Drosophila melanogaster: one gene and its partner. The protein of the gene in region 1 interacts with the protein of each later gene in a pairwise test. Each region holds a gene or a part of one and is shown on either strand. Other genes may lie near its edges.

What was found. Proteins that work in one complex are often made in the same cells at the same time.
Region 2: the proteins of Abcd3 (region 1) and Ssk interact in a two-hybrid assay, tested with the Drosophila melanogaster proteins (one large-scale study listed by BioGRID).

What each region holds. Positions count from the first base shown.
Region 1 is NC_004354.4:19,746,898-19,755,089, forward strand, and holds the start of Abcd3 (ATP binding cassette subfamily D member 3), read left to right. Parts: upstream 1-3,872; 5' UTR 3,873-4,240; exon of another isoform or gene 4,241-4,450; 5' UTR 4,451-4,536; coding exon 4,537-4,649; intron 4,650-7,973; exon of another isoform or gene 7,974-8,192. Other genes in the region: parvin, read left to right, coding at 1-185, 353-973; Alr (augmenter of liver regeneration), read left to right, coding at 2,016-2,411, 2,491-2,732, 2,792-2,954.
Region 2 is NT_037436.4:20,185,309-20,192,184, forward strand, and holds Ssk (snakeskin), read left to right. Parts: upstream 1-3,213; 5' UTR 3,214-3,403; coding exon 3,404-3,454; intron 3,455-3,683; coding exon 3,684-3,880; intron 3,881-4,011; coding exon 4,012-4,252; 3' UTR 4,253-4,471; downstream 4,472-6,876. UniProt on the Drosophila melanogaster protein: Required for assembly of smooth septate junctions (sSJs), together with mesh and Tsp2A. May be important for barrier function of the midgut epithelium.

The DNA of each region.
Region 1 (8,192 bases):
TCAACGACGAGCTGGCCGAGCAGCGCATAATTGTTCAGCACCTGGAAGAGGACATGTATGACGGCCAGGTGCTGCACAAGCTGTGGGAGAAGCTCACCGGCAAGAAGCTGGACGTTCCTGAGGTCACCCAGTCAGAGCAGGGCCAGCACGAGAAGCTCAACATCGTCCTGAAGGCCGTCAACCATGTAAGTAGTAGTAGTTTATGTTTTGCAGGATTTAAAAATCGGAGTTACCAACATTTAATTATTTATCCATTCTTAAAGTCGAATAGAATAATTTTTATTCGATTTACAATTAACATTCCCTTTTCTCGCGATATAAGAATAAATTTTATCCTTGCCCACACCCACAGACACTCGGCTTTCACCAAAAGATTCCCAAGTGGTCGGTGGCCAGCGTGCACTCGAAGAACATTGTGGCCATATTACATCTGCTGGTGGCACTGGTGCGTCACTTCCGGGCGCCCGTTCGCCTGCCAGAGAACGTGTTCGTGACCGTCGTGATTGCGGAGAAGAATGCGGGCGTGCTGAACGCGCAGAAGTTCCAGGAGCAGATAACGTCCGAGTACGACGACCTGGGCATGCGCTGCGAAAAGGACGCCTTCGACACGCTGATCGACTGTGCGCCGGACAAGCTGGCCGTGGTGAAGAAGTCCTTGATCACGTTCGTGAACAAGCACCTGGCCAAGCTGAACTTTGAGATCAGCGATCTGAACACGGACTTTCGCGACGGCGTATACCTGTGCCTGCTGATGGGCCTGCTCGGTGGATTCTTTGTGCCGCTGCACGAGTTCCATTTGACGCCGCAGGACGTGGATCAGATGGTCAGCAACGTGGCCTTCGCCTTCGACCTGATGCAGGACGTGGGCCTGCCCAAACCAAAGGCGCGGCCGGAGGACATCGTGAACATGGACCTCAAGTCCACCCTGCGCGTCCTATACAGCCTGTTCACCATGTTCAGGGACTTCGCCTGAGTGAAACCCGGATGGAACGAGCCAGCGGGTTGCAGGAGCAACAAGCGGCGCCAATTTTACATTTTATATTAACTTTTTGATAGTGTTTACACGCCTAATTTATGTGCGTTCTCGAAACTGATTGTAGGCGATGCAGCGGTTAAAGCTTACTGATCCTAACTCTCAAAACCACAACTAAATGCTGCGTCGCGTATAATCAGCCCAAGGAATGTTTATATATATATATATATATTTATGTGTCGTACGTCTAACCACTGCGATCTGCTCCAGATTCAGATTGCTCGGAACAGGAAGGAGCAGAGCAGAGCAGAGCTAACCCAAACCCAAAATCCGGCGGCCAGTTGTTAACTTGTCTTACTCACGTGCCAGACGTTGTAGTTGTTACTAAGTGAATTTATTGTATTAATACATTATTTGAACACAATAACCGAGATTGTGCCTTTAGATCACACAGAGCTTTTGCAAATTATGTCACAGATCAGATTTTAACGCTGTAAATGTAGAAGTTTACGGAAAAGTCTTAAAAAAAAATTTTATTGTGTACGTTAAAAATTTGGATCAGAAAAATCAATAAATATTGCCAATAGCATATGTGTTATTCTATTTTAAACAGTTCCAAGGCGCAAAATTTATCTGGGGCTGCAGCACTCACAAACGCCAGCTTCCATCCTATTCACATGTAAGTTCTTTCGAGCGTCTCGAATTGATTGAGAAACAAACCTTAGTAATTTTCTGAACGCTGTGCTATTTGAATTGTCGCGGTTGCGCGCGCAACTCGCAACGGTCTGGTATCGATCACAGCTGCGAGCAGGCTGCCAGATCGCTTCCCGTTCGGGAACGATTTCGCATCGATTTTCGATTGCTGGCCGGTATAATTTGAAAATGTTACTTTGCTGACCGGATTTTGGTCCTTGGCCAGATGTTGGCCATGAATCTAAAAGCCAGTATTTAGTAACTTGCGTTGATTGCAGCCGCTTAACTAAGCCGCTTAGCCAGATATGTCCTAATGTTATGTGTTTCGTTTCGAAACAAGGTGGCAACCATGCGCATGCTTTTTATGATTTTCACAATAGCCGAGCGAAGTTTCAAGATTCTAGAACTACCCACCACACCAACGCTTCTGCTGCGCCGCCAGTCCCACAACTACGGCTACGACTACATCAGCCCCACGCACATCGAACTCAGCCGGGAAGCAACTCGCCTGGTAATTCGCCGTCTGCAGCGCACCGTTCTCCGCCTGATCCGTGACCCGGACTTCATCATGTCTGCCGAGGCGAATCCCGAGATGGATAAGGAGCACCACGAGTCCCCATTCGCAGCGAACCGCAAGGCCGGTGCCAGCGGCGCCGGCAAACAGGACTCGAACTGCCGCACCTGCAACGATTTCAAGTCGTGGTCCAAGCAGCAACGCCTCATCTCCAACGTGCAGAGCGCCAAGGTGACGTGATCGCGTTGGCCACTTCGCCTTCGCAAGCAGGACGATAACACAAGAATCTCCCACTTTCATACTCCTCCAGGTGAAGCACATGGCCGCCGCCGAAAAGCTGACCGTCAACGCCGCCGAAGATCCGCTGCCCCGCGACGACTGCCCGCTGGACAAGGTGAGGCTGGGAATTTCCACCTGGGGACTGCTCCACACCATGGCCGCCTTTTACTCGGACAACCCCACGGACACCGAGAAGCGCGACATGAAGACCTTTTTTGAGGTTCTGTCGCGCCTTTACCCCTGCGAGTTTTGCGCCAAGGACTTTCGCACCGAGTAAGTGCATCTTCAATCCATTTGAAAACGCTGACACTTTAGCTGGACCTCTGTTGCAGCCTGGACGTCAACCCCATCAATGTGAACTCCCAAAAGGAGCTAGCACTGTGGCTGTGCAAGTTCCACAACCGAGTGAACGACAAACTGGGCAAACCGCTCTTCGATTGCACCAAGGTGAACGAGAGGTGGCGCGACGGCTGGCTAGACGGCTCCTGCGACTAGGCGCCGCAGCTAACCAGCGCCGAGAAGCCCCGTCTCCCGCCCGTTGCAGGTTGCCATGTTGACCAGACTTTGTCCCACATTTTGCTCGGCTGGCCCACAACTACAACCACGGAACACGGGACTCCTGCTCGGCGGTGTACCGCCGCCAACCCGAAACTGTGCCCTGTTTCTGGCCAGAGGCCATGCCCACCAGTCGGAACCTGCGTCAGCGTGACATTAAATTGAGTTATGTTGTAATAGAGCGACACATCGAAGGTCCATTGTTAAATGATTTGCTGGCTATGAACTCCATTAGAATATACACATTATGTTGAGGACCCGTATTATGCCTTCTCACTGGCCCTGCAGATATCGCAATCTCTAATCTGCCGACTGGCGTTTATTAGATTAGAATGGGGAAGGCAAATGCTTTCCACTTCGATAAGATGGGAGTGGAAAGATCTAAAGCGGAGTTGGAATACAATGCTTAGTTGGTTCGAAATTAGGGGATTTGGCTGATACTTATATAGTTTTTAGATTTCCTTTCTATAATACCTAAAGGACTAAAGGTCTTAAAATTTGTCTGCTCTGGTTATATTTTTTAATATTTAACTTAATTTTTTTTTGCAATCAACGAAACATTAACATTTTATTCATTTAACATTTTAATATGCTTAACATAAGAGATATAAAAATTAGTGGAATTTTCGTAAGAGTAAGCCATTATATGATTTACTTATATAACATGATTGCTCAGCAATAGTTTAGGTAGTTTAAGCGGGGAAATTTAAATTTGGCTAATTTAAAATATTTAATACCTCAAATTTAGATGAACGATATTTTCGATTCATAATTATCGGTGATAACTTGTTCGATAGCTCTTCGTTCAGAAATAGCCAGATTTGGCGGCGAAATAGCTGCCCCCGCAGCGCCGCTGCCCGCACATTGTCGTGGTAGCCAACACTAGCGCACATCGCACTACAGTTAGTTGCCTGCTGGCTTTTGCGCGTCGCACGTATCACTTCGTCAGATTTCTCGATTTGGTCGAGCTGAGTAGAGTGTAATTACCAAACAAAGAAATGCGCCTGGCTCAAATTGAATAAATAAAAGCGCCCGCCGTGTGTGACAATCACTTTGCCCACCCCCTTTGGCCAGAAAAGGAGCGCCACTAGCAGCGGAGGAAGAAGCAGCAGCACCATCACCACCACCAGTTGTAGTACAGGAAGAAGAAGAAGCAGTTGCCCTGAAAGAGAGAGAGGGTGCGAGCGAGAGAGGACGAAGCTAAGACAGGGCTGTTCGACAACCAGGTGTTTACATCCTGCTATCCACCATCTGTGTGTGTGTGCATGTCTGTGTGTTGTGTCGTCATCAAACAGCCGATTAAAATATTGAAATCCGTGCAATAAACAATAGTGTCTGTTCCCCTTTCATACTTACTATTTATTATAATTTTTTTTTTTTAATTTTTTCCTTGTGCAAACCCCCTCCCCCCACGTGCGGTTAATCGAACACTGAAGTGCGAACGCGAAATTGCGAATTGTAAAATTCACAAGGTGCCCAATTTGAAGCCAAACGAGATCCGTAGCCACATCGCAATAGCAGAATGGCCCCGGCTCTAAGCAAATTGGCCAACAACCAGAGCGCCATCGTCGGCGTGGCGGGCATGACGGCGGCCCTCTGGATAATTGCCTACGGAAAGATGTCCAACAAGAAGCGGTAAGCCCCCCCTTGATCTTAATTACGGATAATTGTGGCTCAACCATGTTATTTATGTTGCCTGTGCAATATGCAATATTCTACGAACATCTTATTGCACAAGGTCTCGGTCTTGGCCATCGATGTGTCCGTGATATTGACTTGAGTTTTGGATCGCTGTGTATTTATGTACAAACAGATTTGTTTGCGGGACATACGATGCGATGCCACTATTGTGGGTCATCTGGCGGACTGCAAAAACTGGTTTTCCGATGGCCGTTTCTGCCACACTGTATGCACTTCCCCCTCATTGTAGTCCGGTTTCAATTGATTCGTCCAGCAGCCGCGCACAGTGGGCCGGACAGTTCGTTTGCAGCTCCAAATACTGTTCTTTTCAATTGTGTTACCCATTGCCATAATCTTATAATAAGTTTGGCGACCACCAGCTTACGTTTTGAAGATTCTCAAAAAGATATTTTTAAGTGCAGTCCCAATACAAAAAAAAAGTCAACAGATCATCGATTCATTTAAGTAGATGTGAACCAAAGTAGCTGGATCTGTTTGCAGTCTATCCCTATTATGTAGATATACTGATATCTAGGATAGGTCTGAATGTATATATTGTCTGGGAGGAATGGAGGAATTCCGCGTACTTAGCAGAAGGTAGACTCAGATAGGCACTACATTTCCGGCCAAACAGCAAACTCGATTAGGAAAGCCTTCTCGGCGCCCTCGACTATTATGACCCGAATAGCCACTTCTTGGCGGCCTGCTTCATTGCGGTATCGCTTCAAGGATTTCCCCATCGAGCACCTGCGATGCGGACTTGATTCCCCGGTTAAGGGCCACGTTTCGGTGTTTGAATGGACTTGGTCTTTGCCGCTAATCTAATCGGCAACGCGCCAGTCTACAGCACTTCATCTATATGCCCCATTCCACTATCGCCACTCGTGCCGATTATGCTGTTGTTAACGCGCTCAATATTTGGTCATATTCGATGTGTGCGGGGTTCGGCGCGCAATTGACCGCTATCAGTCGATTTCATCTTATTGAATAAACTGAACGGGTAAAGCGGGCGCAATCGACTATTTGCATGACAGAGCCAATTAATTAGACAGATTGCGGCGGACAAGTGGAGTGGGTGGGTGATTGCATTGCCAGCCAGCCAGCCAGCCAGCCATCCGCATGGGATTGTGGGGGATCTGCCGTGGCTGCATGTGCCACTCGTTAATTGCTAACATTACTCCGAGTACTCGGAGTATGCCGAGCACTCCGATGTTGGATACCCAACCGGTGGCCATCACTTTCAGCAACTTCTCTGAAGTGCACTGCACTTTGGCAGGCGATCGAAATCGAGCATTTTAATGCGCTGTTTACTTTTTTATGCAACTTTTGCGAGCGAGGTAGCCGCCACTTGTGGATGGCCGCTAAATTTATGCACCATTCCATTGTTCGAATTTTGCACAGTGGATGGTGCAGTCGGTTCAATGGATGCAGTGACTGGACACTCCACAGTCCAACCAACCAAATGGGCTTCGCAAGTGGAGCTCCACTTCGATTATGCTTTCATATGAATCAGTGGTTGAATTTTGTGGTTCATTTCATATAATTTCATTTAATTTCATTCATTCTATGATTCACTTTCAAGTCCAAGAGCTAATCGCTGAATGATTAAGAACGTTGAAAGTTTAAAAGGGACTTTTCGAATGTGTCAACGAGTTTCCGAGTAGCAACGCCTCTTGCACAACTTTCAAGGCGCTTTTTTATCGGTGTTTTTTTTATAGCCTCATATCAAGGACAGGCCCTAGAATTGTTAACTGATATGGTACGGTTATGCTAGCTCGTAGCACCGCCAATAATGTCTTTGCAATCTATCAAGGGTTTGGACAATTGGACAACACACCCAAGCTCATTAGTCCAAAGGTCCAAACACTTTGACTTGACATCCAGCAGCCTGCCTTGCAATCGAACACGCAACCACCGGTGGGCAGTTTGCTTTTGGTGTTGCAACAACACTCGATTGTACCCCTTACCCGGACCCAAGTCCGTACCCATACCCACACACACACACACCCATTCCATGGATGACATGATGACACCCGGGTATAAAGCATAAACATTACAGCCGTGCCTTTTAATGACTTGCGTCGTGCCATCCACAACATTGGATGGAGAGAAGCGCAGAGGACCAGTGGCTTCTGGTTTCATTTTTCCATTTCCATTTCCATTCGCATTCCCGTTCCCATTCCCAGCTCTTTGCCTTCGAGATGGGTAATGGGTAATGGGGTATAGGTGTTAATTTGTGTACAACTTGCTCTGTTTTTCGCAGGTAGACACATTCTGTATCGCCCGGCCCGTCCCGCCGGCTGTTGCGCAATAGCTTGTGTGGCTGTGCGCGCTCCAGACTTTCGGATGGGGAAGTGGAAGAGTCGGATGGATGGAGAGACCTTGTGCCCGGGAAACGCTTGGCCCTCGATAATCGGATTGCCCCGCAAGGCAGCCATTTATCGTGTAATTTGTATAATTCTCGCCTTTACTCGGACGGTGCGTGAAATGAGATCGTAATTTCAATGCAGATTCGCAGCCGAGCTCTGACATTTGCACCTGTTGCGGATGCCACGTTGCCAAGGCCTGTATGTCTGTCTGTCTGCCTGCCTGCCTACCGCTCACTCACTTACTCACTCACTCACTCACTCACTTACTCGCTCGCTCACTTGCTCACTCGCTCTCACTTCTGAGACATCGCAAGCGGAGTGGAGTGAGCGTGTGAGTGCCGGCAGACTGACTACGGGTCTTGAGGTCTACAGGTAACAGCCAAGGCAACAGGTGATGAGTATGCCCGAGCTGTGTCGAGCTATCTGATTTTGGCCAGCGTTTATCAGACAAACTAGCTCGATAGCGGCTGCTATGCGGCACAAGAACCACTGAACTTTGATTGCAATCCGCGGCAATGTCTCTATCTGAGTCAGACGCCAACCGATCTTCTCGCGCCCGGGTTCAATGTGCCCCCCATTAGGCGATCGCCGGCGATTAGCGAAAGAGAGCTTTGGATGAATCGCAGGGGCAGGCGATTTCGGAATGGGAATGGGAATGGGAATGGGTATGGGTATGGCAATGGGAGCCACCGGTGTTGACCTATGGACCCAAACACATGTTCCACGTCTAGGCGGTGAAAACAAGTTTAATATACTACGAATCAAAAAAGGAAAACCACACGAGAGACAGCCAGACACACAGACGGATTGAAAGATAGATAGATGGAAACATATATATATATATATATATATATATATATAGAAATAAATACAAGAGCGCTATGAATAATTCAGTGATCTGCGCAGCGATATTTAAGAAATAACCAAGTCATCACGACTCGTCGCTTTTTCCAGCCTGCAGATAACCAAGGCGCGAGCTTTGTACTTTGTTTGGCCTAACATACCAGTAGCACCAGCACCAGCACCAGCACCAGCACCAGCAACACCAGCACCTCACATCTCATCACCCACATTATCCCATAGACTTCGAACCCTGGGCAGGTGGCGATTTTGGACTCCATCCGATTCG
Region 2 (6,876 bases), on another chromosome or scaffold:
CAGCGGAGAACCACTGGCACAGCACTCGCCTGATAAGGATAACGACACGAAGCTGCACTTCGGCAGTCCTGGTTCGGCCTGGTTAAACAAGGCGGCCCTGTCATATGCCTAGGCCCACAAAAAGGTCTATGACTGTATTGCCACAGTGGTGTTTCGAAAAGTAGAGCTGGAAACTTCAAATAGCATACAAATAGAAAATCAAAGGAAATCGGATTTTGAAAAATCTAATTTTGTAAATATCCTTTAATATTACATATAATTTGCACGGTACTGGAAAGTTACAGATCAAATTACAACTAATAGAGTTCGCAAATCAGTGCAAACACCAGATATTTTAATTAACTTGAAAAGAAAACTACATTTACTGCAAGTTCATAGGTTATATTGCACTTTTTATAAACACTGCCAAGTTAATATTTTTGCCTCGTCTGTGAGTTGGTGCGTTTAGTATTCTATGAATATGAATACAAGCGTTTGGCAAATGTCATAAAACGCCGGTCAAATACATTTTCTTCAATTTGCAAATATTTAGGGGTTGAAAAGGATGTTTGTTCAACGCAGAACGTTTAGATTAATTGAAAGTCAAGTGCTAAATAACTCATAAATCGCTTAAAGTTTTCAGCTCTGAAGCATATGTACAATATAAGTTTACCGCAATATTTAGAGTGGCGAAAACTTTTAAATTTTGATATAAATCTCTCTTACTCTCACTTTTACCTCTCTCTCTCTTTCTCGAGCTTTGTGCGCAAAAGTAAACAAACGCAACTTTCATTCATAAATAGCAACAACGCAACCGGCGAAATCGAATCAAACTGATAATCAAAACAAAACCGAAAGCTCTCCAAAGCAGTGCTCTTCGTAATTCTCTGACTCACTTTTCGACTGTCTAGCGAATTAATTTAAATACGCCCACTAAGATTGAACTGAAATCTCATTACCAAATCGCCGTCACACCTCATTGACGCCAGTCCAAGTAAGGCAGGTAAGTTTCCCCAAAAGGTGTGCAAGTGGTCATAAGTTACTTACTGCTGTCTCTGTATCTGTATCTGAGGAATATTCTCGCTTGACATAGACTTTACAGTGCTGTAATGTAATGCCTGTAAAGCGTCGCTGTAGGAGTCTGGCTGCTACAGAACCATGCTGCAAGTGCGCTTAAGTTTAAGTTCTGACCAGTCGACTTTTTCACAGCCGAAATGCGAATTATATATATATATTATAATTATATATATAATATATATGTCCAATCTATACATATTGATTTCGTTTCGGTTCGCTCTACAAGTACTGAAGCATACATACATCGTTTATTTATGTGTGCTATCCATTGAATACATCTCAATCACTTTAATATCGTGACGCTTGAAGGCACACGAAAGCTGATAGCTACGAGGCGATTCGCTCTTTATTCTCTTCTTACTTAATTAAGAGAGGCCACCACACGAGAACTGCACTTGTGTTGGTGTAAGTTGCATGCCGGTTTTTGTTGTTCTGACGCCGATTTTTCCCCACCTCTCTGAATGCTTGATGATTCATCGCAACAAACCAAATGCAGAGGAGACAAATTCCAAATTTAACGTCGCTTGCTTTCTGGGACTCCACATGGGGATTTGAGAAGTGGGGAAGAATCCGCGGTGCTGAGCGGCATTCGCAATGGGGGAACGAAAACAAAGAACTCGACAACCTTTGGCCTTGATTTGGGAAGATATTCCTTTGCTTATCCAGGCATCAGACAACTTGCATTTAAAATGGAAAGCAGATCTATGTAAATAAATCAGTATCCATGTACCTTGCTCAAATTTAATTTTATTACCTTTAATTAAATAAATCTTATTCAATTACTTGTTTTCCCTAAGCAAATACTATTCTTAAGGCATTCAAGCACGTTTAATCACATTTTAAAAACTTGTATACAAAAGAGACAATTTCCGCTAAAACAACATATTTATTTTGAAAAGCTTAGGTTGGAAAGTTAGTTGTATGCTAAAATTAAATTTTCTGAAATGAAATCCAATAATACCCTCGGCACAGCGTAAATAATACTTGTTTATATATAGTACTCATGAATATCAGTGTGTATACTTGCTACTCAATGCGGGTCATAAAAAAAACCCTTGATGAGGTGTGATCTCATGTTTGTTCCATGTTCTGAACTTATGATTTATACAAGCACATTTTAATGTCGGCCTTAAATACAAAACACAGGGCACGAGGTGCCAAATGTGCAGTATAGTTAATTTCCCACGCCCTCCAAACTTATGCAATTATTCATTTGTCCAAAAACCATATGCATCCATTTTCAATTAGTTTTTAAACATTGAATTTAGAAACAAGGGACTGTAACTATTTCTAACTAAGTTCTTTCTTTTCTTCGTGACCTGAAAATTGTTTGCTTTTCATGTTACACAGTGTTCTTAAAACGCACCATTCATCCAAGAGTTGTATTTTTATACACCATTTTACTGTGATAAATAGGCAATATGTAAATCGAGGAACCCCACATCAACCGCAAGTTGCTTTTTTGCTCCCCAATTGCTCCTATCATTTTGCATTGTGCTCTTCCAATTGATTCGAAATCTCGAACATGGGCCACCTACAGCCACGATTATTGTGCTAGGGTTGTGATAATTGAAATGCAGATTAGGTTCCAGTGACTTTTTGTGTGTCTGAGACTTTTTAATCAGTAGCTGGAATCCACTGGGCTATCGATCATCGGAATCGTGACAAGGTCAGTGAATTTTTAATCTGTTCGAGGGATGCACCACCGGGAGCTTTATCAGTGGGAATGGGAATGGGTCACCACGAAAGTATTTCAGAAATACATCGATGACGCAAGAATAATTGTTTCCGGTCTCTCAGAGCCGCGGGTATGTTTCCCCGTTTTGTGGCTTTGTGGCCGCCATGAATAATGTGTAACAATGCTGTGGAAAGCGGCAAATCGGAGCACCTGATATATCGCGATGTAAGGCGACAGAGCTGCGATAAGGCCGTTTTGATAAGATACGCGGGTGGGGCTGGCGCATGCGCATCTGGGTTTCATTGGGCTTCGGAGCCTGAACATGTTGAACCGTCAACGAATTAGTAACCCATTTCGAACGGCACCTGTTATCGTGAGCCCTATCTTATCTTATCGCTGACCGTGTATGCTCTGATTGCAAAAGCTACAAATTCTTGGCGACACGACGAACTGGGCGCGACAGGTTGGTTGGTTGCCTTTCAGTGATATTTTTCAGTTTAGTCGACGAACGACAACGATACGAAAACGAATCATTTCGCTGTAGTTTCCGCGTGAAAATTACAGAAAAGATTGTGAGTGCCCCTTGACTGGGAGAAACCCCTCTGTGAACTAAAGCATTTGCCCAAATTCCAGCTCAGCGATAAGAGCAATCAGCATATCTAGTGCGAAATGGTGTCCGTGGAGACTGTAGGCTCTATTTTCATCAAGGCCCTGAAGCTGGTAAGTTTTGGGCTTCTTTGGTCCCTTCCTATTGAGCAATAGCCTGTTTGTGGTCGCAATAACTCGGCTGATAGATAAGCGCGCGTTTTATCAGTCCTGGCGTATTAGCAATGTTACTCATACGCCGAGTTGTACGGCAAGGCGAGGCGTGGCCAAGAAGTGATTCATTCATTCCCATTCCCAATTGTGACCTCATTTAATTGCTCTCCTGTGCGCTCCTTTTTCGCAGATCATCAATCTGGTGATCATCTTCTTGTACCGTTGGGGCGATGGTGGCGAATTCCTGGGCATCGGCGGCACGTGGAACTTAAACGAGGAGAAGAGCGCCGATGCGGAAATCGTAGCCTCAGGCGTCATGGTTGGATTCTTGATTTACACTGGATGCCACACCATTGCCTTTGCCTTCGGCACAACCAAACATAAGGGGTATGTTGAATGCCGATATTGATTATAGCTGAACTTTGACCCGCATCTTATTCCTTTTCTTGTATTTTCCGCCCTTAATTCCACACTCTCAACTCACAACTGTTTGTTTTCAATGGCTTTCCGTTTTTCAGAGAGCTGTGCGACACCATCATGAACGTGGTTGGCTGCATCATGTGGATCGCCGTGGGCGGAGTGGCACTCCACTACTGGAAGGGTTACATGTCCGACGAGGGATTCCTGTATGTGAACTCGGAGCGTCAAGTGGGCATTGCCATGGGCTCGCTGTGCGTTATCGAGGGCGCACTGTACCTGCTGGACACCGTGTTGGCTTGCATACACTATTCGAAGGGCGACACCGACTACACGCAGTAGAAACTGAATAGTGGGGATACCAATCGCAGCCGCCGAATAAACACCATCCACATTTGTCTTTATACATAGATCGATTTAAGTGCAAATTAGTTATTATCCGCAATCAATTATCAACTATACGTTCGTAAGGGTCAATTGTCGCTGTACTATACACTAACTGTTTACAATTTTCATTCACGTTTAACATCCTTAAATTGGCAAATACAAATAGTTAAGACCACGCCACGGATAAAAGTTTTTGTGCATTTGGGAACTAATTAAGGGGATGCAATGGAATGCCACTTACTAGTAAGTATCAATTGTAACCTAAATCAACTAATTACCATCAGAACCCATTGATCGTGTTGCTCAGTTTCTTTTTTTCTGATATCATTGCAATTAATGAAAGATTATTTATATATATCATACATCATACGTAAGCATTTTGCTAATTTTTGTCAAAAAACGACAACTTAGATTTGTTGACTAAACTTTTCGACTTTAAACTAACACCCAATCGAAATTTCATATTCCAAGCGATCTGATACTGATATATTGTAATTGGTGAGATATTTCATTTGTTTTTAGTACTAGTACTAGAGAACCTATTGCTCTCCAAGAACCTAATATTCTTTTAAAGAACTTGATGGAAAACTAAACTAATTGTTTAGGAACTGATGCACACAGGAAAAATGTCAGACGATTCGCAGAATTTGGTATATATCACTCATTTCTTTGCTGAGAACAGAGTTCATGAGTTGTTCAACCAAATCGATGACGCTTCAAGACGAACCTCCTCTGGAACCATGAAACTGCAACTTCCGGTGCAAATCGAAAGCGTTCAACGAAGCATTGATAAATCGGAATAAAGCCCTATATTTATCGGTCAGCTATACGCAGAAGTCTTTATGGCAATGAGTCAAAGATTAAACGGTACAGTCAAAACTACACACATTACGTAAATGCATATGGTGTATAAATAAATAAAAAAAAAAGGTTAGTCACCCTTAACTTTGCAACTGAAGAACTTATAATATTTGAATATGATCATCTTTTTTAAAATCTTTCAATAAGATCAAATCTTGCGTATAAATTAACAAGAGCTGAGCTCAACTCACCTGTTTTCCTGGCTTCCCCCGCCCGTCCACTGCATCCCGTTCCCGCTGCTGCTGCTGCTGCCGCATGCTTCTGCTCCTCCAAACGCCCGTCATACGGAAGAGGCACCGCAGGTCCACCGAGCCGTCCTCCAGATTGAGGGCATCGAAGAGCACCGCCTGATCATGGATGAAGGAGTTCCGCGTGCGCTGATTCAGCAGATCCAGGGTTCGCGAGTCCAAGCTCTCTCGATAGACATTATGTACGCGGTCCAGATTGTGCTCGTAGGCGGTGTCCAAATTGAAGGCACTGTTCAGGCTGGCCATGCTGCTCCTACCCTCCAGCGAGGTCTTGCTTCTGCCCTCCAACGAGGTCTTGCTCCTCCTGCGGCGCATCACCACCGTCCTGACCGACTCATCCATAGATGAGCCAAGGTGGACGGAGGTGCGCGAGTTGTCGCCCAGCGGAGAGGGCGAATGCGAGTGGGCCAGCGCCGAAGGCGGCAGCGGCAGCTGGGTGGCGATGGTCACCGGCTGTTCCGCCAGACTCATCAGCGATTGCTGGCGCTCCAGTTGCTTCTCGTAGCCATTGAACTTGTCGTAGTCGATGAAGGACATGTTGGCGTAGCTAACCATATTATCGATAGCCTGCAGGGATTGCAACGAGGCACTCCATTTGGGATTCATCTTCTCCTTTTTCTCGGCTCCGCTCCCACTGCCAGTGAATCCACTGAAGGTGCTCTTGAAGGAGGCAATCAGCGTGTTGGATCGTCTCTTTTGGAAATTAAGCTGGGGATTGGCGGGTTCCGTTTGATTGAGCGACATCAGTGAGCCCTTCCGTTGGGCCGGCGACTGCACCTCCTCCAAAGGAGTCGACGTGAAGGGCTGTGCGGATTGTCGACGTTTTGGAGTCCTCACCGATGAGCTGAGCTCACTCCTTCGCAGGAGCACCGGCGAACTGGCCTGCAGATCGGCCACCGATGTCTTCCGCGGCGATGTCGGTGAGGTGAGATCCCCCGATTTCTCCGTCTCCTCGCTCAGTTGCTCCAGCTGGGGCTCGATGAAACTGCGGCGATTCGGTCGTCTCATCTGGATCATCGAACGACTTCGGGTGAATATGTACGGTGTGCGGCTGGAGTCCCCATCGCTGTCGGTCCTCGACAGATTCTCCTTGCTGCCCGTCAGGTGGTTAATCAGTTTATTCAGCTTGGTGCGTAAGAAGCTATTGGATCGCTCCATTTTGGGCACATTTTCGTAGCCCGGCAATGTGGTGGCGCCCATTGATATACTCTGGATCCTCTTTTCCGCCTCAAAGTGTTGTTTGGTTTTCTGGGCCACGTTAATTGGCAACGTATTATTCTTGCTATTGTTATTGGACACTATACTGCTATTATTGTTGTTGTTGTTGTTGTTGTTGTTGTTGTTGTTGTTGTTGTTGTTGTTGTTGTTGTTGTTATTGTTACTGCTATTATTGTTGTTGAAGTTGGTTTGTTTGTTGTTATTATTCGGTTGGATATTCTTGGCATTCGGCGTTGATTTCACTTTGTTACC